Linked DNA regions of Arabidopsis thaliana. The protein of the gene in region 1 purifies or fractionates together with the protein of each later gene. This does not show direct contact. Each region holds a gene or a part of one and is shown in the gene's direction. Other genes may lie near its edges. The genes, in order: RPA2, ARF1 and AT4G18590.

Region 1 (3,754 bases):
AGTAACAGAGGCACTATTTGAAGCTAGACAAGCTGCTATAGCTCAAGAGAAGGTTAAAGCTGTTGAAGCACCGATGCTTTATAGTTGTGGAATCTGTAACAAAGGTTACAGGAGTTCCAAGGCTCATGAGCAGCATCTTAAGTCGAAGAGTCATGTTTTGAAGGCTTCGACGAGTACTGGAGAGGAGGATAAAGCGATCATCAAGCAGCTTCCGCCTCGTCGTGTTGAGAAGAATAACACTGCTCAATTGAAGGGTTCGATTGAGGAGGAAGAGAGTGAAGATGAATGGATTGAGGTTGATTCGGATGAGGATTTGGATGCGGAAATGAATGAGGATGGTGAAGAAGAAGATATGGATGAAGATGGTATTGAATTTGAGTTGGATCCGGCTTGTTGTTTGATGTGTGATAAGAAGCATAAGACTATAGAGAAATGTATGGTTCATATGCATAAGTTTCATGGGTTCTTCATTCCTGATATTGAGTACTTGAAGGATCCTAAAGGGTTTCTGACCTACCTCGGTCTAAAGGTTTGTGCTTTGTGCTTAGTCTGTCTTAGATCTTTGTTTTTCTTTGCTACTTAGTACTTACATGGTTGTTGTTTCAGGTCAAGAGAGACTTCGTGTGTCTGTACTGCAATGAATTGTGCCATCCATTTAGTAGTTTGGAAGCTGTTCGTAAGCATATGGACGCCAAAGGTCATTGCAAAGTGCATTATGGTGATGGTGGTGATGAAGAAGATGCAGAACTTGAAGAGTTCTATGACTACAGCAGCAGGTTCCATTTCTTCTGCTTTCTCCTCTGTTGTTGGTGTCTAAATGTGCTTGAACTAATTGTGTCTTCTTTTGATGTGTGTTTGTACAGCTATGTCAATGGAGACGAAAATCAGATGGTTGTGTCCGGTGAGTCAGTGAACACTGTAGAGCTTTTTGGTGGGTCTGAGCTTGTGATCACCAAGAGAACCGATAACAAAGTAACGTCTAGGACTCTTGGGTCTCGAGAATTCATGCGCTACTACAAACAGAAGCCAGCACCGTCTTCTCAGAAGCATATTGTCAACTCTCTAACCTCCAGGTTTGTCTTTAACCGATCAGAGATCATTTATCACTGTCTCTGTGTAGAATTTGAATCTGACGTGAATGGGTCTTAAAACACAGGTACAAGATGATGGGTCTAGCAACAGTGCAGTCAAAGGAGGCCATAGTGAGGATGAAGGTGATGAGAGAGATGAACAAAAGAGGAGCGAAAAGCAGTGTCAGGCTCGGAATGAAGAGCAACGTCATCAGGAATCTGCCCAACAATGTCACCTATTAGTCTTGCTCCTCGATTTTCAGGTCTCTCCTCTTTGTTTGATTTTGTGACCAGAGTTTTGGTGAGTAAATCTATCTAAGTTTTTCACTAGTACTCAAGTATCTTAGGCCCATTTGGGTCTCTGTTTTGTCTGATTTAGTCTTTTGAAAATGTTACGTTTTGGCTGAGTTTGTATCTCTTGCCCAGTGCTTTGTACACTCTACATTAATCTATATTTCATTTGGTAGAAGATCAAGAGCTAATCAATCTTTATCTGCTAAATCATAAATCTAGTACACTTTTCACTTATCTATACATTTGTTTTAGATAACGAATGCTCTCGACTTCACTTTCTCTAGCTATCTTGATAAATTGTATAAAGGTAAATGCACAGGTCGATTTACGAGTTCCTCACAAACCGCGAGTAAATCTCGACACGAATATCTTGCATCATCCACTATATCTCTTTATTATTTATCACTCTATTGCTCTCTCTTACAGGCACTACTGTTTCAAAAGAGAGAGGAACAAGTTTAAAGCCTAACTCTTTCCAAAGTCCAACAGCCCAACTTCACAGGAGCCCATCGAAATCATAAGTCTTCTAAACCGGAAAGCTTTTGAGTCGAATAAACTGAACTGAGAGTAAACCGGAGAACTGAATTTATTAAAAAGTAATTATATTATAGATTTACCTCGCCCTAATTGGCGGGAAGCTCTAATCAAAATTGGAGGGAAAATCCCCCAAAAATTCTTTCGTCGCTATTAAAATTCCCCCAAAATCTTCTCTTCCCTTTACTTTGATCACTTTTCAACTTCCTAAATCTCTTCACAGTTACTTTCGATTTTCCGATTTCGTAGCTTCGAAAATGTTCTCCAGCAGCCAATTCGAGCCTAATTCCGGCTTCTCCGGCGGCGGATTCATGTCTTCTCAACCTTCTCAAGCCTACGAATCCTCCTCCTCCACCGCTAAGGTAATATAATCCATCTTCCATTTCGTTCAATTCCACCGATTAGGCTACAGATCGAAAGTTTCCGAATCGCTAAACGTTTCTCTGTAACAATCGATTTTGGAATTGCTAAATCTGCTCTGTATATGTTTTGTGGGAATATGCAGAATCGTGATTTTCAAGGTCTTGTTCCAGTGACGGTGAAGCAAATCACCGAATGTTTCCAATCCAGTGGTGAAAAATCTGGTCTCGTCATCAATGGAATCTCACTAACAAACGTAAATACCATTTCTAGATCTCTTTGTTTATTACCGTTATTCGTCAATATGGTCAAACTTTTACTCAATTGTGTGATGTTTTTGGTATAATTCAGGTTTCACTTGTTGGATTAGTGTGTGACAAAGATGAATCTAAAGTCACAGAAGTTAGATTCACTCTTGATGATGGAACAGGACGAATTGACTGTAAAAGATGGTAAATACTCGGAAACTTTACCTTTTGATAGATGCAAGAGTTGTTTTTCGGTGCAGTGGTTAGTTTATGAAGTTTGTAATTGGTGTTGTTGTGCCTTTCTTATAGGGTGAGTGAAACTTTCGACGCTAGAGAAATGGAGTCTGTGCGGTTAGTATCTTTGGTTTTTGTTTGATTTATGTGGTGAGATCACATTTTTGGTTTTGGATGTGTTTTCTAATTGTTAGCTGTGAAACAGAGATGGAACTTATGTGCGCCTCAGTGGTCATTTGAAGACTTTTCAGGGCAAAACTCAGCTTCTTGTTTTCTCTGTGAGGTATGTTTTGTATTTTTGGTTGTGAAATGCTTTTGATTCCGTTACCATTGGCAATAGACGTTGGTATGTTCTGTATAAGCTTTGTTAGATATTTATATGAAATCGTCTGTTTTGTGTTGCAGGCCTATTATGGACTTCAATGAGGTTACTTTTCACTACATTGAGTGTATACACTTCTACTCCCAGAACTCTGAATCACAGGTAAAGAAAATGCAATATAGCAAAAGATAAATTGTGTTGTTCACAATTTGCAATCGAACCTCCCTCTCTGACTTGTGCTTTCTCAATAGAGACAACAAGTCGGTGATGTCACTCAGTCAGTTAACACCACATTTCAAGGTGGATCAAACACAAACCAGGCAACACTATTGAACCCTGTATGATGAATTCACCAAGTTTTTTTTTTTTTGGTTTTCTTCATGACATTTGTTTCTGTACTTAGAAATAGAATCTCATTATTGTTGCTCGTTTTTAGGTGGTTTCTTCTCAAAACAATGATGGCAATGGGCGCAAGAACTTGGATGATATGATTCTAGACTATCTAAAGCAACCTGCTTGCACGTGAGTTTGAATTTTCTCATTGCTGCCCCCATTGCTCCACTTAAAAAACTGGTCTAATAATAGTTCTGTTCACTGCAGTGCAAGACAACAGGGGATACATATCGATGAAATTGCTCAGCAGTTGAAGATCCCAAAAAACAAGCTAGAGTATGCTTTTTTTCTTTCTTTCT
Region 2 (3,754 bases), on another chromosome or scaffold:
GTATACCAACGAATAACAATAATTCAATCATATGTTAGGAATCATTTATATGTTTACCTATATATTATTTTGAAGATTTTCACTCAATGCAAAGATGAACCTCAAAATTACTTTTATCAATGACACATTTTTAAAGAGAAAATATATAAAGATATGAAAGTAGTCACTAGGGACTATGTAATCAATTGTGCTATTTACTGTTTAAACACACTAAAATATATAGTTTTAATGTAATTAAGTAATCCTACAACTTTCATGTGAAAATTCCTAGTCAAATATTTCACGTAGTGAGTTATTTAAAGTAAAACAGAATAATAGGTATGCTTATACGGGTCGAGTTGCTTTATTATGAATATGATTATATGAATCAAAGGATATGAATTTATATTTATCAAGTTACCACGTTACGACCAAATTTGGGTTATGGGTTTCAAATCTTGAACGGTTCATGGTATTCCGCCGCTTTTGTCCTATCAAGTATGGACACATTTTTCAAAAGTACGCTGGTGCCGAAGTAGTTTGTTGTGGCCTTGGTTAACTGTACCATTAATGCGTGTTTATAAACTACATGCTAACTCTAATAACTTCTCATACATTCACATCAAAGGACGATGAGCCTCATATACATACATAGTGATCAGAGCCATCCTCTAAGCAAAAAGACTATCCTTTTTAAAAAAGAGAATCATATTAAGGGCAAAAATTAACTTTCAAAAATAATTGGCCAAGAAGCGATGACTAATGTTTTTGCCAAAAATAAAACAAAATCTCAAATCTCAAAGCCTGTTTCATATCTCTTTTAAGAAGAGAGAAAGAAACTTAGGATTCCAGAACTAAACGTCGAAAGTTCTTAGATATCTTATTTCAAAGGGTTCTCCTCTGTCAGAAATTCTAGAATAACAGATTATTTCATCTTAGGTGGACTGTCATTTCTTCTAACTAGGCTAGTAGCAAATCATTATGCCCAATTTAAAGCTAACTCGCTCTCCATCTCCATTCGATTAGATTAGTAGTTAACTTTAAACCACCAAAAAATTTTATACATTTATTTGTTAGAGAATATTTGGAAGAATTGGGTGGTCTCGCTTTGTGCCGCTTTCTTAGCTCAAGGATTTTTGGATTCTATCTACATGAACTTCGTTATCAATTTTGATGCTTGATATTTTTGCCTAGAGTGTTTCAGTTTTTTTGTTTTTCTTTTCTTTTTCTAGCAGAATTGTCACATGTTATATTCATATTTTGAGTATTTTCTAAGAAACAATTAGGATGCTACATAGACATATTTTTGAAAAGAATTAAGAAAAAGTAATAGGTTTTGGAATTTTGCAAAACAAGCGAGAAGATGCTACACTTGATTGTTTTCAACAAAAATACCCTCAGAAATAATGGATGAGATTCACATGATAGCACTAAATCGCTACAAAATCTCTTCACTAGTGTCTCCTCCATAGTCAAATCCGAGCTCCAGATAAAAACATTACAGATTCATATGACAATATTAATTTTGTCACTCATATGAATTTGGTTAAATATATAATCTAATTTGAAAATACAAAAATCATGATTCATGATGCACCTTTCAATTCACATAATGTTGAAATACAGAAAAAATAATTACTCTCTCATTTCTTTATAATATAAGTTTTAGAAAGAAACCAAAAATTGTCTCATAAAGATAAATGTAGATTTTTTTTTAATTTTATCTCCTATTAACTAGGGTTGAATTAATAAAACAACTAATGAATATTTATTAAACACGAATATATTTGTAGTAGTAAAAAAATTCTTAATATGTATGCAAAGTCTAAAAACATACAAGTTCACTAATCTCTACTAAATTAACAGCTAAACCCAATAAATCCGTTAATTATGGCTAGTTTAGTGAATTTTTCTCAAAGAAAAGCTCTTTTTTCAAAGTTAAGGAGACTAGAGAGCAAGTCATTTGCTTGTGGTTGGAAACAAAAACCCAAAGCGACGACACAATTAAAAAAAAATATAAAGAGGAGAGGAGAAAAAGAGGCAAGCCATAGCCAAAGGGTTCGTGTCGGCTTCAACCAAACACTGACGGTGTGTGTATACACCTTTACATACACACCTTTATCTCTCTCTCTCTCACATCTTTGTTACAAATCAATCTTCTACTGTTTTCTTTTTCCTCTTCTTACATTATTTTTTGACAGCAATTCTTAGTTTCTCTTCTATCCCCTTTCTGGGTTTTGTTTGAACCCTAGCTCGCTTTGGATCCAGTGGTTTTAAGTTAAAGGTTCGATTTTTATTTCTGGGTTTTGCTTGTTTTGCTTGGTTCTGCTTAGTAAATGTTGGAAAAGGAGGAGACTTTAGAGGATCTGTAGTCAGATTTGAGCTGGGTTTGTCGATTTTACTAGGATTTTGATTTTGGGGATAATCTAGATCAGGAATCGTTACTTTGTTTCATATCCAAAATTCAACTCTTTTTCTCGTTCCTGATCTAAAAATCGTTCCTTTTCAAGCTTTCTAAATGAGGTTTCTCTTTGGTGGTTCTGAAATTTTGTCTGTAGCTGTTGTGTTCTTCTCTTAGATTTGATTCTGTATGATAATTTTAGGTTCTGAGTTTGAAGTCTTGTCATTGTAGAGATGGTTTTAGTAACAGTTTTGGTGTTGCTTTGTGTGAAGTTATTAAGGACTAAAATCTGTTCATTTTTGGTATGTTATTGAGCAGGTTCTTGTCTTGCTTTTGCTTTATTTGTTCTTTCTTTTTACCTCTTTGTTTGAGTGATTATTGGATTTTCTCTTCAAATTGGGTAATAAAATTTTGAGAATCTGAGTCTTGTGATGTGCTTTAGACACAATGTAGAACAAAGCAGTTACATAAATGGCCCACATTTTTGTCAGTAAATTTATGAATGGGGTTTTAAATGTTTCTACATAATAACATCTATCAGAGTTTTGTTTGTCTAAATTAGAGGAGGATAGGTCCATCTTCTTCTTTTCTCTTTCAGAATAACATTTCAATCTTATAGTTTTCTCTTCTTTTGTTTTGTTGCCCAGGTAAATTTATCGAAAGTAAGTAGATTCCTAATGGCAGCTTCCAATCATTCATCTGGTAAACCTGGAGGTTCGTGGAATATTTCTTGTTTTTATACCATTCTTTGCTATTTTCTACTGGGAATCCACTTTCTAAGCTTGTTTGGGGATTCTGCATAACTTGAAATGGATGATTAAGAACTGGATAAGGGTTTTAAAGCCTTGGAGATTGCAACCATTGCTTTGTTTTTGAGATATATTGTTGCGTCACATAACCCATATCTGTTTCTTTGTAGGAGTTTTAAGTGATGCTTTATGTAGGGAGCTCTGGCATGCCTGTGCTGGACCTCTTGTAACCCTACCTCGTGAAGGGGAACGAGTTTATTATTTCCCTGAAGGCCACATGGAGCAGGTTGGTTATTGGGTTGAATCATTTAACATTATCATTTGCTAAAGCCGGTTATGTTAATTGGACTGTTATTACTGTGTCAACTGTCGCTTCAAAATACCTTGTTGGTGCTTTCTAGTTTAAAAGTAAAATCACAAAACATGTATTGTTGTATAGAACGGATAAATGCACTACCTGTTTTGATTTCACATGATTATTGTTTCTTTCATCTTATCTGATTATCACATTTATGCATTTAATTGGTCACTTCCTGTGCAGCTCGAGGCATCAATGCACCAAGGTTTGGAGCAACAGATGCCTTCCTTCAACCTCCCATCTAAGATCCTCTGTAAAGTTATCAAC
Region 3 (3,393 bases), on another chromosome or scaffold:
ATCAACATAAACTTTGTTTTCGATCTACCCCTTGTTAAAGAAGCAATCTTAGCTTCATATATAATCCACCTCTTGTTGTCATTTTCTCGATTTAATTTGTTTTTTTGTTCTTTCGTCTTAAAAGACCTATAACTCTTGTGAATATACGTTCTCGATCGTCTTGCTGAAAAAGGATTAAAACAGTTGATATTCAAAGGAAACCCATCTTATCATATGTACTGATAAAAGCTTCACAATAATGTCGCGGCTAAGAATGAAATATTCAAATATTTCAAAGAGACAGCAGAAATAAAACTAAATCCATTGCCCTAAAACCCCAAACTTCAAACCCTGCAAATTTTGATTGCACCTCCTAGTTACACAACAAACCACTCATCACTGCTGTATCCAGCATCTTTGGCTTTAGACTCATCATCACCGACTGCATCTTTTGAGAGTTCCATCTGAAAACCAAAGAGACGTATTTGTTAGGAAAATCAAAACAGAAGAAAGGATATAGTTTCAAGACATGCTAAAAGTTATGCGAAACTAGAATACACACCATTTGAATAGCTCCTGGTTTCTCTGTTTTAACATTGGGCATAATAGCTTCAGCTTTGTCTACGACTACATATTCGTCATCTGAATGACCTGATGATGCATACGTCAGAAGTTAACAAAGACATTACAGATCGATTAAAAAACGAATGGACAAAGAACGGATTTAGTTACTTGCACTAGTCTCATTCACAAAGCAAAAACAATTACCTTTATCACCTTCACCACTCTCATCATCAGAATCGTTGTAGAAATCAAACGTATCAACAGGGGGAATTTTCCTACGAGGTCGGATCAGATATGGTAAAGGAACTCCTGAAAACGACACAAAATTTCCTGATTAAAAACTCAAAACTCGAAACAGAAGGAACCTAAAGGATAATATCAAATGGTAAAAAACAAAAAAGGTGAAAAGTGAGCTCACCGTTGCAGCCTCCCCTCTTCCGAGAATGCAGAACAGAAACAGCATGAACTGGTGCCAATGTTGCCATGTCCTGATTCAAAAATGGTACCTGTTAGCAATTGCAACAACTTTTATGAGAAACAGAGAGATCAGCACAAATCTAAGAAAACCCTAAAAACGATATAAGCTAACCAGACAAAGAAGAGATAACGAAGAAGAAACCTAAAGAGATTAAGAAATTTCCACACAATAAGTTAACATCTTTGTATACCAAATCGGCGAAAACCATCTTAAAACAAGAAATTCAGATCGTTCGAAACAGAAATTTACTCCGCAAGAAATATAACGCAAACCCTAATTTTCCGTGTGATCATATAAACAGAATCAAAACCAAAAGTTCCATAGAAAAATAGCAGAAAAGGAGAATTATTTCAAAGAAGAGATGAATTCTCAAATAAACATAGGATTACCTTATCGAAGATTCAGAGAAAATCGTTTATCAGATCTTGAGAAATTTGATCGTCGACGAATTATCAAAACTCAGTAAGAGAAGAACAAGACATCAGCGGTGGCGAAAACTAGAGATTAGCGATGAACAGTAATCTTATTAGCGATATAAATAGGGATTATTTACTTTTTATTTTGTTTCCCTTTTCTAAACCTTTTCCAATTAATTTATGTTGGCTGACGTGTCTCTGATTAAACCAATCTCGAGCGGTTCAGCTTCCAACAAACCGGTTCGGTTTAACACTATTAATTTCTCGACCTCGCTCCTATCTTCTCCTCTCATTCGTCAATCCAGAGACTAGGGTTTTCTTCCCGCCGAAACCTCACCGGAAATTCTCTCCGGCATCTCCTAATTCGTCAATCGGGTACTGTTAAATCACAAGGCTTTAGTAATTTCTTCTTATACATAGGTCTAAATCTATCTGCTTGATTTGAAATTTGGATTTTGGTCTAATTAGGGACTGACACTACCAATTTACTTAATGATTTGAGGATAATTACTTCGATTTTGACTTAGATGATATGAATTTGATTTAGTTTCAGTGAGAAAGACGAATGAATGTTTTGATTTTTATAGAGAATGGATACATCAAGTCCTGCTGCTTTTGTGAATGGAGCTTTGTTGAGAAGGTACATTGGTCAGAAAGTGAGAGCAGTGATTCAAGTTATCAGATCAGATGTTGGATCAGTGATTGGTAAATCGACTGATGATCAACAGATTGTTGTTAAAGGTTCTCCTCAACCGCCTTTAACTACTTACCTTGAGGTAATTGGAATTGCTGAGACTGACAACACTATTCGTGCTGAAGTTTGGACCAACTTTGGTGATAGTTTCGGTATGAATTTAAGCAAAAATCATTCCTTTAATAAGCTATGTCCTTTATGATTTGCAAATTCTTGTGTCTTGATTTGGGGTCTTGGCTTGTTTGCAGATGTGCAAAACTACAATGAGCTATGTAAGCTTGCAAATGGTGAGTTTAGACACTTGTTCATCTAAATCACAGGGTATTGGTGATGAATGTGGAAAGCTTTTTTCTTGGAGATTCTTTGGGTTGGAGCTATTGATATGCCTGGTTGATCTTTAGTATTGAAATTCTTCTGTTTCATGTTAGTTTCACGGTTTCTAGTATTTATCTTATGGTCTTTGAAATCTGTATGAAAACTCTTCTGTGTCATATTAGAATTAAGGTAAACTGTGTTAGTCGATCTTACTATGAATCTTATGTTTCTTGTTTTGTGTTTTGGTTCTCTTTGCTTTTCTTTTGATTCCATCACATTGGATCCTAGCTTGTAAATGGTATAAAACTATATAAAATCCCTAAAAACTATATCTACATTAAAACTTACAATTAGGAAAGAAAAAAAAATCTAAACTAAAGCATAAACAACACACAAAATTGTTGGTCAAAAAATTATACACACAACTTTGACGAAAATGTTCAAGGAATTTTGCAGATTAGTAATGTTTTCTAGAATTTTAGATTGTTTTTGGTTCACACAATGACACAGTTTTGAAGAAAAGACCTTAGCCCACGGCCCAGTCCAAAATTTTTAAACGACAGCGTTAAGAACTGGTCCGGTTAAACCGGGATTTAGCCATTATGGAAGAATCATAAGACAAAACCTAAACTTAAACCGAACAGATTTGTCACGAAGAAGAAATCAGTGTAGCAGACACCATCCATCCCTGAGCAAAGGTGATTCCTTTTTTCCCTTGTTTTCTGATATCTTAAAGAATTATTCTGAGGTTTTTGATTACTTGAAATATTGTGTGTGTTTCGTGGAGGTTTATAGATTTCTCGTTTAGGGTTTTTGTGGTTTAATCTGCTTCTTCGCCACTGATTCTGATACATTTTTTCACTTTTTGGGTAAATCTTGCAATTGAAATTCATGTGGGCTATCTTTTGGTTGTTCGTGTGATTACTCAGTGTAGGTTTAGTGACTCA

The links.
Region 2: the proteins of RPA2 (region 1) and ARF1 purify together in Arabidopsis thaliana (affinity purification with mass spectrometry, with the first as the bait; one large-scale study listed by BioGRID). This does not show direct contact.
Region 3: the proteins of RPA2 (region 1) and AT4G18590 purify together in Arabidopsis thaliana (affinity purification with mass spectrometry, with the first as the bait; one large-scale study listed by BioGRID). This does not show direct contact.

The regions. Positions count from the first base shown.
Region 1 is NC_003071.7:10,398,818-10,402,571, reverse strand, and holds the start of RPA2 (replicon protein A2), read left to right. Parts: upstream 1-2,073; 5' UTR 2,074-2,155; coding exon 2,156-2,260; intron 2,261-2,403; coding exon 2,404-2,514; intron 2,515-2,609; coding exon 2,610-2,710; intron 2,711-2,815; coding exon 2,816-2,857; intron 2,858-2,945; coding exon 2,946-3,023; intron 3,024-3,145; coding exon 3,146-3,224; intron 3,225-3,313; coding exon 3,314-3,400; intron 3,401-3,498; coding exon 3,499-3,584; intron 3,585-3,662; coding exon 3,663-3,731; intron 3,732-3,754. Other genes in the region: FZF (Zinc finger protein 622), read left to right, coding at 1-529, 607-776, 864-1,073, 1,157-1,313. UniProt on the Arabidopsis thaliana protein: Component of the replication protein A complex (RPA) required for DNA recombination, repair and replication. The activity of RPA is mediated by single-stranded DNA binding and protein interactions. Required fo cell division in meristems.
Region 2 is NC_003070.9:21,977,357-21,981,110, forward strand, and holds the start of ARF1 (auxin response factor 1), read left to right. Parts: upstream 1-1,982; 5' UTR 1,983-2,067; exon of another isoform or gene 2,068-2,263; intron 2,264-3,027; 5' UTR 3,028-3,057; coding exon 3,058-3,094; intron 3,095-3,299; coding exon 3,300-3,415; intron 3,416-3,670; coding exon 3,671-3,754. UniProt on the Arabidopsis thaliana protein: Auxin response factors (ARFs) are transcriptional factors that bind specifically to the DNA sequence 5'-TGTCTC-3' found in the auxin-responsive promoter elements (AuxREs). Seems to act as transcriptional repressor.
Region 3 is NC_003075.7:10,234,497-10,237,889, forward strand, and holds AT4G18590 (Nucleic acid-binding, OB-fold-like protein), read left to right. Parts: upstream 1-1,664; 5' UTR 1,665-1,812; intron 1,813-2,024; 5' UTR 2,025-2,027; coding exon 2,028-2,283; intron 2,284-2,379; coding exon 2,380-2,444; 3' UTR 2,445-2,772; downstream 2,773-3,393. Other genes in the region: AT4G18570 (Tetratricopeptide repeat (TPR)-like superfamily protein), read left to right, coding at 1-38; AT4G18580 (uncharacterized protein), read right to left, coding at 357-443, 542-630, 748-852, 962-1,028. UniProt on the Arabidopsis thaliana protein: As part of the replication protein A (RPA/RP-A), a single-stranded DNA-binding heterotrimeric complex, may play an essential role in DNA replication, recombination and repair.